Linked DNA regions of Drosophila melanogaster. The gene in region 1 interacts genetically with each later gene. Each region holds a gene or a part of one and is shown on either strand. Other genes may lie near its edges.

What was found.
Region 2: of Wee1 (region 1) and Myt1, changing one suppresses a phenotype caused by changing the other (phenotypic suppression), as found in Drosophila melanogaster (one study listed by BioGRID).

What each region holds. Positions count from the first base shown.
Region 1 is NT_033779.5:6,910,523-6,915,953, forward strand, and holds Wee1 (Wee1 kinase), read right to left. Parts: upstream 3,617-5,431; 5' UTR 3,406-3,616; coding exon 2,904-3,405; intron 2,760-2,903; coding exon 2,423-2,759; intron 2,367-2,422; coding exon 1,662-2,366; intron 1,561-1,661; coding exon 1,427-1,560; intron 1,331-1,426; coding exon 1,179-1,330; 3' UTR 568-1,178; downstream 1-567. Other genes in the region: Rat1 5'-3' exoribonuclease, read left to right, coding at 1-370; x16 splicing factor, read right to left, coding at 4,521-4,878; CG32829 (uncharacterized protein), read right to left, coding at 5,161-5,431. UniProt on the Drosophila melanogaster protein: Acts as a negative regulator of entry into mitosis (G2 to M transition). This kinase specifically phosphorylates and inactivates cyclin B1-complexed CDC2.
Region 2 is NT_037436.4:5,776,905-5,781,518, reverse strand, and holds Myt1 (Myt1), read left to right. Parts: upstream 1-1,927; 5' UTR 1,928-1,977; coding exon 1,978-2,932; intron 2,933-2,994; coding exon 2,995-3,140; intron 3,141-3,196; coding exon 3,197-3,561; intron 3,562-3,619; coding exon 3,620-3,755; 3' UTR 3,756-4,043; downstream 4,044-4,614. Other genes in the region: Pmi, read right to left, coding at 522-682, 745-929, 987-1,135, 1,386-1,408; vito (viriato), read left to right, coding at 4,254-4,315, 4,375-4,614. UniProt on the Drosophila melanogaster protein: Acts as a negative regulator of entry into mitosis (G2 to M transition) by phosphorylation of Cdk1 specifically when Cdk1 is complexed to cyclins. Mediates phosphorylation of Cdk1 predominantly on 'Thr-14'. Also involved in Golgi fragmentation.

The DNA.
Region 1 (5,431 bases):
TCACCGCATGCTGAACGCTGGCATAAGGAACCAACAGGGTGGCGGTGGCAATGGAGGTGGAGGAGGAGGCTACGGGCAAGGAGGCGGCTACGGCCAGGGAATAGGCGGAAACCAAGGACAGAGCTATCAGAACAATAGCCGAAACTATAACTACAACTACAACAATAACTACAATCAGCACCAGGGTGGCGGCTATCAAAACAACTACAATAACCGACAGCAGCAGCAATATGGCCACAATCAGAGATTCAACCAGGACAATTCGAATCAGCAGCAGCGCAACTTTAACAACTATAATGGTCCAAGGAACAACAACTACCAGCAACAAGGCGGCAGCAGGCAACAGAATCAGAATTATAGACGGTTTTAGGTGTATCATACAAACAATATAATATGTAGCGCATAACAAAAGTGTAATCCATATTAATTTACATTATTTTTTAATGAAGAAAATATACTGATTAAGGATTTCCAAACAAACTCATGCCAAGTTCTGAGTTTGTTCTTTAAATGAAATACCCATTGCATTTCTATCAAAGCAGCTTACAGCCAACATCTAGTCTTAGTGCCTCAAAGAAAATAAGTCAAATTACAATAATGATCATTTCTCTTTCCATTGATTGCGTAAAAAAAGCAAACTAGCTGGATAATACAAAAAAATGAGACGATTGTTATTTTCAGATAAGGAAAATGGAACATAATTTGACAGGAAATTGGATAATATCAAAACAATTTCTAGTGGAGTAAACAATTGAATTTAAGAAAAACTTCGCAAACATTTTGTTTTAAATCCGGAGTCATAATAAATCCAGTAGTTTTTATGGAATAGCATTCGCTATATTTAACGAATGGAATGTTATTATTTCGATTTCCATGTAACATAATAAATATTTTAATTTCGAAAACAATACTCATTACAACTATGCGAGAATCTTAAAGTTTACAAGGGGCTTTTCTTAAAACGATTGTGCTTTCTTAACAGGGAAAAGTTCACTGAGCTTGAAAAATATATAGATTATATTTACGAATGCTTCAAAATCCATGAGCTTAAACGAAAGCGAATAGTTAGAAATATGTATCGATTATATGAATACGCTTAAAAGGTAACACAATGTGAGCTTAGTTCACGTTCGATTCGGAAGAGTTTAGCTATCGGTTCGGCATCTGTTGCGAGCTTATCAGATATTGGTGATAACGTTCTTGTTGCGATCGGATATGCTGTCGAACTTGCCATGGCTGGAGAATGGCGTGCGCATGCGTCGCGTGAAGCTGCGAAGGCAACGCTGTCCATCCAGACTGTCCGGATTGTTAGTCACCGCAAGAAGATTGACTAAAATGAGTTGCAGAAACGTTAGAAATTGTAAACATCCAGATAACCAACCACCTTAAAGTTTAAGTTGTTATACAACTATTTATCTTATCTTACCTCGTTGCTCGAGCAGTTTAATCTGTTTTTTGGCCTCTCTCAGCTTGTTCATCAGTATCTCGTTCTTGCGCTTCTCCACGGTCAGCTCCAGGCCGAGCTGCAGCTTGCTCTTGGAGTCAACAGCACTCAGAATTCTGCAAATTAAACGAACATTATATGTATTTAGTGTGAGCACATTTATCTTAAATGCAACTAAATATGATTGTCGCTTATACTGTCGACTCAATTTACTTACGGATGACTGAATATAGACTGCGAAGTGGGCCTCTTGTCGGGATAAGGATGCATCATCTGGGCTATGAGCTCGTTAAAATCCCTGCTCAGGCTCGGCAGAATCGGCACCTTGCCATCTCGCAAGTTGTGCCATTCGGGTCCATTTTTAGGCAGCGGACCACCGCCGGCCGCCTCGAACAGCGTGATGCCCAGGGAAAATATGTCGGCCTTGAAGAGATTCGAATAATCCTCGTGAAGGATCTCCTTGGGCAGGTAACGACAGTCTCCCTCCTCGACGTAGGGTTCCTTAACGGAGGTCACGTGTCCCAGGTCGCCGATCTTGTACGTAACCAGATTCTCTGAATGGCGCAGTTCTTCATAGACGCTGTCCATGCCATCGTCATCTTTGGTCTGCTGCGGCTGCACCTCCACCAGCTTGTGTGCATTGGGATTCATGGTGGAGAATATGTTTTCGGGCTTCAGATCCATGTGCACCAGGTCATTTGAATGAATATAGCGTAGGCCCTCTATCACATGCATGAGAACAATCTTTAGCTCTGCCTCACCCAAACAATGATCTTGGATGCGCGCGTGCAAGCTGCCACCATCGCAGAATTCATTCTGTATCAGCATATGATCGTCCTCCGCCCACGCGGAATAGTATCTAACCACGTTATCGTGCTTGCCCAATACAGCATGGGCCCAGACCTCGTTCAGGGCTCTCTTTCTGCAAGCAAATAGATTGTTAAACGACGCTCGTTGCAATAACTAATGAATACTCACTCGAAAGAACTGCCTGCCACCGGCTTCTTACTCTTTTTAATCGCATATATGCAGCCATCTAGTCGATTGACGCATTGGAACACCACACCGAACTCGCCAACGCCGATTACGTTGACTTGCATGAACTCCCGCTTGAAGCGACTGATGTTCGTGTCGTGCAGGGCCAGCCGCTTGGGTGCCTGCTGGTGGATTTCGCGCATCGAGTCGCCCGCCTCCTCCGTCACATCGTCGTCGCAGGCATCACTGAGCAAATACTTTTGCATAGCATTCACGTTCAGGTTGAGGTTTTCGCGTCCGAATTGCGTGCGACAGCGCTTCTTATTGTGAGCCATGAGGCCTAAAAATAAAAAAAATGATTATTAGATTGCTAATAAGACTAAGCTGGGATGGGTTAAAGTGGAGTGCAAATTAAAGCAACGAACTGGAAATTGATACCTTTATTTAATTAAAATATCAAAAGCGAGAAACGTTTTAAACTTACTATCTGGCGTGAAGGGGTTCACATTTGCCGTGTCCTGGGTGGGCAGTTTGCGGTTGTGCAGTGGCAGAGATCGCGGGCGCTCTGACAGGCGGAAGAGGTCGTCGCTGCGCCTGGAGGCATTCACTGCCGCTGCTGCCGCCGACAGATGGTTGCTGCACTGCGTCGTCGACTTCTGCAGGATGGTCTTTGGAGTGGCCGGTGTGCTAAAGAGTCGCAGGGCCCGCACCTTTTGGCATGGCGGCGACATGGACACGTCCCCGTCGCCGCCTTCTTTGCCTATCTTACTGTCCAGCTGCTGCTCCTCACCGGAGGATAGCTTCGGCCGCTGCTGAAGGGGATGCTGCGGACTCGCTCCCTCGGGCGTGTCCTTGTCAAAGTCATCATCGGCGAAGCGGAGCTTGCGCGGATTGAAGACCTGCGGCGATGGCGAACGCGATCTCAGTTCGACGCTTGAATCGAGTGAGGTGACGCTCATCTCGTGCTCCGACTGGCGGAATGCCATTGTTGCTGTAGCTGTCCAGCTGACCACGTTGAAAGACGATTCTGTTCGTTATTTCTGATTTCAGAACTATTTGTATGGAAGCCGGCGGCAGTAAAGTAAAGGCAATAGTTAAAAAAAATGCAAAACAAAACACAAAACAAAATTTAACTGGAGGAATGCTAGTCTAATAATGTGGCCGTACCCGATGCGCAATAAAATACCAGCTCTGACTGAAAAAATACTAAGTAACTGGAAGTGCAGAGTTACCAAACAAACAAAATACTAAACATCTGGCAAAAATACCAATTTAAATAATGCGCACCTACTTCTAAACTGAGTGACCAGACTTGTTCAAGACCGCATAAAGCCCGCCAAATTCAAATGGAAAACAACTAATTTTGGCATTTAATTTATTGATTGAATATCTGTATTTTAGTGTTCAGCGCATTTGCTACATAATTCAAACACACATCTCAAGAATCCATACATATGTATTTTTTTAATACTTAACTATGACATCAATGTATGAATAATTATTATGCACTGTTGCAATACTTAATTATTACGAATATAGAAACACATCATACAGAGATTGGAGTCAAATAATCAAGTTGTTGTGTTGCATAAATTGAAAATTGTGTAAAATTGACATGAAAATGGTGGCGATGCTTCGTCCTCTGCACATTCGAGTATAATTCCAGGGTAAGCAAAATAAAATCCAAGGCAAATCAATTTACATAGCAATCCTGACTAGATCGTTAATCTGCGGCTGCCGATACATTTCTATATCTTAAATTTCCTTCCGTCAAATGATTTTCCGAAGCGCTCTCCTTTGTTCTGCGTGTGCTTGTATTTGTTGTTGTGTTGGAACATTAGAATACCTAAATATGCAAACTCGAGTTCCACTATAAATTAAAACCCTTAACTAATATGGTTTTGGACAACTAAAAACCTTAGATGGATACTGCATGAAAAAGTATTTGGGAATCTGTCTTGTTACACGTGAGGTTGTTTCTTTTGGGAATGAGGATTAGAGTCCAGTGCGTGGAGAGCCCATCTCGCCGGATTCATCGGGGGGTTGCAGCTCCGGCCCTCATCATCGCATGTCGGGCTCCGTCTGCATCCGTTCGCTGTCGCTAGTCCCTTGAAACGGATCGTGAGGCGGACGAGTCACCACGACGCCTGGGCGGCGATCCACGGCGCACCGCTGGCGACGCCGATCGAGATCGGGAACGCGACCGCGGCGATCCCCTAACCCGGTCATCGTCCTCATCCTCATAGCGCCGTTTTGGCGGCGGCGGTGAATCTACCGCTCCACTGCCGTTGCGCTCGTGGTCGCTGTACCTCGACGCCGATCCGTTCTCGTCCCGTCCGTTCGAGCGGCCGGAGCGACGGCCCACCGAGCCGGCGGAGCGACTGCGGGATCGAGTTCCGGACTTGGAGCGAGTGCGCCTGCGTCGCGATGTGCTCCGAGATCTGCTGAATGAGTTGCTTCTGGAAATGAAATGGGATAAATCGTCGTGATTAGCTATCAGGCTTTTCAAAAAACGTAACAATTTAAGCTACCTTATATATGTATATACTAATATACTAATACATTTAAATATATTATAGTGTGCTATATTATTTGAAACATTGTAAGTATCAAAACTAGCTTTTAGCAGATTAAGTTTTAACAGCTTATTGAATAAAACACAAGACAGTATAATATTCTAGAACCTCTCCCAGTTTTAATTCTGCATTTCACATAAAGATCACATGTATAATATAGCTTGCTCAATGCTTGCCGCCCTTCTTTTTGTAGTGCTTGTGGCCGTGCTTCTTGGAGCCCTTCTCGCCGTGCTCCTTCTTCTCCTCGAAGCTGTCGCCGTACTTGTGCTCCTTCTTGTACTTCTTGTGGTCCTCGTCGTGGTGACCCTTCTTGTAGTGTCCGTGGTGCTTCTTGTGACCCTTCTTTTTGCCGCCCTCGTGCTTTTCGCCCTTCTTGTGCTCGCCGTGCTCCTCGGCATGATGATGGTGCTCCTTTCCATACTTCTTATGATGTCCG
Region 2 (4,614 bases), on another chromosome or scaffold:
CATGAAGCACAACATTTCCATTAAATCATCAGCTACGAATTTCGAAGGGGTCTCTTATCGCACTCACTCTTAGACTCTCTTAGCTATGGAGTAACTTTAAAGCCGGGAGTAACATTCGCATCGCGTTTACTTGACTTTCGTTTGCTGATATCTTCAACTAGACTCTAATAACAATCATAAATGGGTTTCGCTTTATACACAGAGGTTGGCTTTGCTTAATTTACAGTGCAGAGGCTGCTCCTCCCTTAAGACTAACTTGGGCTTGGGGACCGTAATAAGTTATGAGCATGCTAGCCAGTGCAAGTGGCAGCCACGGGAACACTGGACATGGACACTGGTTTATGGGAACATTTAAAAGTTTCACGAAAGACAATACATTGTGTTAAAATCGTTCGAAAATCTAAAAGAAATGCATTCGCCTATGTGCCTAAACTTAACTTATTAGGTATTACGCGTCCGCGAGACAGGGGACAGGCCTAATCCAGCACCTGGACATTTCAGAGCTCCTGCAAATCCCTTACTTGTAGGACCTCCAAATCTGCCAGGCGCACAGGGCAGCCGAGAGCAAGGATACGCTACGGTGCAAGTATTTGGTTTTTGAGTTGGGCGAGTAGCCCAAAATCACAGGCGAGGAGACATCTGTCAGTGGCAGTTTCTCCAACACGGTGTCATTATTTTCCACCTGAAAAACACAACCAAAGTGAGCTTCTCAATCTTGGATATCTAGAACTTTTCCTTTCATACCTGATATTGACAACATGGATCGTAGTTCCAGGAAACCGTGTACAGTCCTGTGCAAAAAATCGAGAGTGCACAAGCGGGAGCTGCAATGATGGGGCGATCCCGCCACAGCAAGCTGGCCACCAGGGAAACCACTCCAGTGGCCACCGCCGTCTTGTGCAGGCAATTGCCCACCCAAATCCAACGACCTGTGGAGATATGAAATTAATACTGTGCTTTAAAAGGAAGCACTTCCAAGTGCTTACCAGTTTCGTCGCCCAGCCGAGGCGGCTCTATAACGATGAAGTCCAACTTGGCTTCCAGCGCCTTGTCCAGCTCAGCCTCGAATCTTTCATGGGCATTGGAGCTGTCGTAGACCTCGCGGATGACATGGAAAGTGGGCACCTTACTCGTGCTGCACAATTAGAACAACAATACACGAATCAATCATGGTTATCTTGATGTGGAACTCAAGGTTAAGGTCAAGATCAAGCGCTCAGAACAACCGAAGCAGAGAAGCCATTGTGCAGACGAGATAAATGAAGAAGCCGCCTAGTAAATTGCATAACCAGGGCAGGTGCACTTGGGAACTGGGATTTGGCTGCACCCAGGTGGAATGTGTTGCGTAATCCCACTGCATTCACGTAACTAGGCGCCGTATTTACCTTTCTATATTTCTGCTAACCATTTTGCTAATAAATTTGTTGTTTTCTATGTTGTTCATAAACTCAGTGCGGCCGCAGCTGGACCGTTAAAATATACCAGGTACCTAAGGGCATAATACTGCAAATAGCAATCTTCCAAAAAAATACCGCAGTTGGGCGGCACTTTTGAATTATATCGTATTCGCAAATACCATTCTCCTTTAAAGAGCGGCCTATATATAAAGGCTTAATTCCACTATTTAGCAATTTATTTGCTTATTTACCTATATTCATAAAGACAATTAGATTAGATTAAAGTTTTTAAAAATATTTCAGTATTTCTATTGTTCTTCCAACTACTCAACTCTCCCATCTCTATTTACGATAATTGAGGCATTTAAGAGGCAAATCATGTAAAATCTGTATACGATTATAGGAGCTTAACTTAATTGAAATCAATAATTATACTCCCAATAAAGATCAAAAATATAAGATACATGTGTTAAATGAATTAGCCGGCTCTTATTGTCCCAAGCGAAGAAGCCAGGATTTCGCCGGCTGTCCGATATGGTCACACTCGCCCACTCATAAGAAAAGACACCCAAAATTGAAAATGGAAAAGCATCATCGCCTGCCCCTCCCGGAATTGCACGACGACAAACACAGACACAAACAGTGCAATGGGGAGAACAGCAATCGCTTCCGGCCGCCCAAGTACAAGACGCGTGGCTACGTCGCCGTGGACAACAACAATCTGAACCGAAGCCAATCGCTGGGCTCCTGTAGCACCAACAGTTCCCAGATCGCGCACGCGATCTCCTTCCGGGACGCCGGATGTTCGGATTCCAGTACGCTGCCCTCGTCACCAGTCCAGGCCGAGCTGAGCACCCTCTCCCTGTCACACTTCGAGCAGTGCTTCGAAAGGCTGGCCAAACTGGGCGAAGGATCCTTCGGCGAGGTATTCCAGGTGCGCGATCGCTCCGACGGCCAGTTATATGCCGTCAAGATCTCCAAGCAACTGTTCCGCGGCGAACAGTACCGCGCAGAGCGGCTGGAAGAGGTGCGGCGCTACGAGGAGTTCTCCGGCCATGAGAACTGCATCCGGTTCATCCGCGCCTGGGAGCAGTACGACCGACTGTACATGCAAATGGAGCTGTGCCGCGAAAGTCTGGAGCAGTACTTGCTGCGCTGCCAAAGGATACCGGAGGAGCGCATCTGGCACATCCTGCTGGATCTGCTGCGGGGTCTCAAGTCGCTGCACGACCGGAATCTCATCCATCTGGACATTAAACTGGACAACGTTCTGATCGGCGAGGACGACGAGACGTGCAAGCTGGCAGACTTTGGACTGGTCATCGATGTGGACAGGGCCAACAGCCATCACGCCACGGAGGGAGATTCGAGGTATATGGCTCCAGAGATCCTGCAGGGTCACTTCTCCAAGGCTGCGGACATCTTCAGTCTGGGCATTGCCATGCTAGAGCTGGCATGCTACATGGATCTTCCTTCCAACGGCCCACTGTGGCACGAACTGAGGCACGGCATTCTGCCCGAGGAGTTCATAAACAGTGAGTTGCGAACTAGCTGCCTACTTAAATGGCAGGTTGCTAAAGCCTTTCTCTTCGCACAGAAATATCACTGGAGCTGCAGTCGGTAATTAAGTCCATGATGAAGCCCGATCCTGCGCAGAGGCCGACGGCCGAGCAGCTACTCTCACATCCCAAGCTGCAGTACCTGCAAAAGAAGCGCAAGTCGCTGATGAACTTCAGCATGCTGGTAAGCATTCCCAAGCACATCTTTGAGAATCAATCTTAACCCTTGACAACTTGCAGTCGCGTAGTTTTAGGCGATCTCGCCGCGCCGTTTGGGGAAGAATGTGCAATTGGAAAACAGCCGCCTTTCGTTACCTTCTATACTTCCTGGAGGTCCTGCATCTATGCAAGCCCATAACGGCCTCACAGCCCAATATTAACATAGTGCCCTCCTCGCCTTCGTCAAAGGGAGTGCCTCTGGTGCCTCAGGTGGAGTTCCAGCTGGTAGGATCCACACCCATTGCCAATCGTGACTGCTATGCCTCCGACTTCCTTTCCGGCGAGGACCCGCTGGACCTCTCCAATCAGGGTAGCCCCAACGTAATAAATTCCACGCCATTGAACACAAACCAAGGCAAATCCCGTCTGGATTTGCTAAAGAATAAGTAAGTACCCTTAATCGATTAGCTCATGGACTAGCGCACATAACCCATCCGCTTTCAGTGTTGATTCAATGGGCAGGTACGTTCATGTACACGATTTCGAGAGTCCGTGTTCCGCCCTATCTTCCGCCAAGGTCCTGGACACCTCATCGTTCCGACGCAAAAAGCTCTTCGTCCTGGAATATGACGACGAGTGAGTGAGTACGGTGCCAGCGAGCAACGTAAACCGAATGAATTTATGATAAACCCAATATATATCAGTTACGAAACGAATACCAGATACATATGGCAACAGAATATATCGTTAATTGTATTTTGATTAGTTCTAGACCGTAGTGTTGTACGAAGTTCCCTAGATATAGTCTTACGATTGTGTAATGTTAATGCTTCTTTAGAAGAACTTGTTGAACTTGAACATATAATCATGTGATATATATACGAAAAGCGATTTGAAAAGTTTAAAAATAAAAAACTTATTGAAATTGAAACCTGCACTGAATGCCATCTATGACATATGATAACAACAAATTAAAGGTAAAAACCAAGAAACGTATAACTATAAAAATTTTTTTTAAAACATTTTTGAATTCTAACGTACCTTTCGTTTCGGGGAAAAGTATTTTGCCCATCTGGTAACACTGGCCGCTCGCACATGTTGAAAACGTAAACAAAAACGAGTAGCACAATTTTTGAAAATGACCAGGAAAAAGGCTCCTAAGAAAAAAACAGAGGTTGTATTCGACAACAAGAAACGCATGTAAGTAAGGAGACACAGAATCCCCGGAGGATACTAATGCCCACATCCCAATCCCGCAGAGAGTTTCTCAGTGGCTTCCGGAAAAGAAAGAATGAGCGACGATCGCGTGCAAAGGCGGATCTGGAAAGAAACCTTAAGAACGAGCGCAAGCGCATACGGCAGGAGGTAAAGGATGGCTTTAACCACCTGAAGAAATCCTTCGAACCGCTGCGCGAGCTCACCGAGGAGGACAAGGCCGAGGAGGCGGAGCAGCAGCAGGAGGAGACCTACGAAGATGATGAAGTGCAGGTGAAGATCGT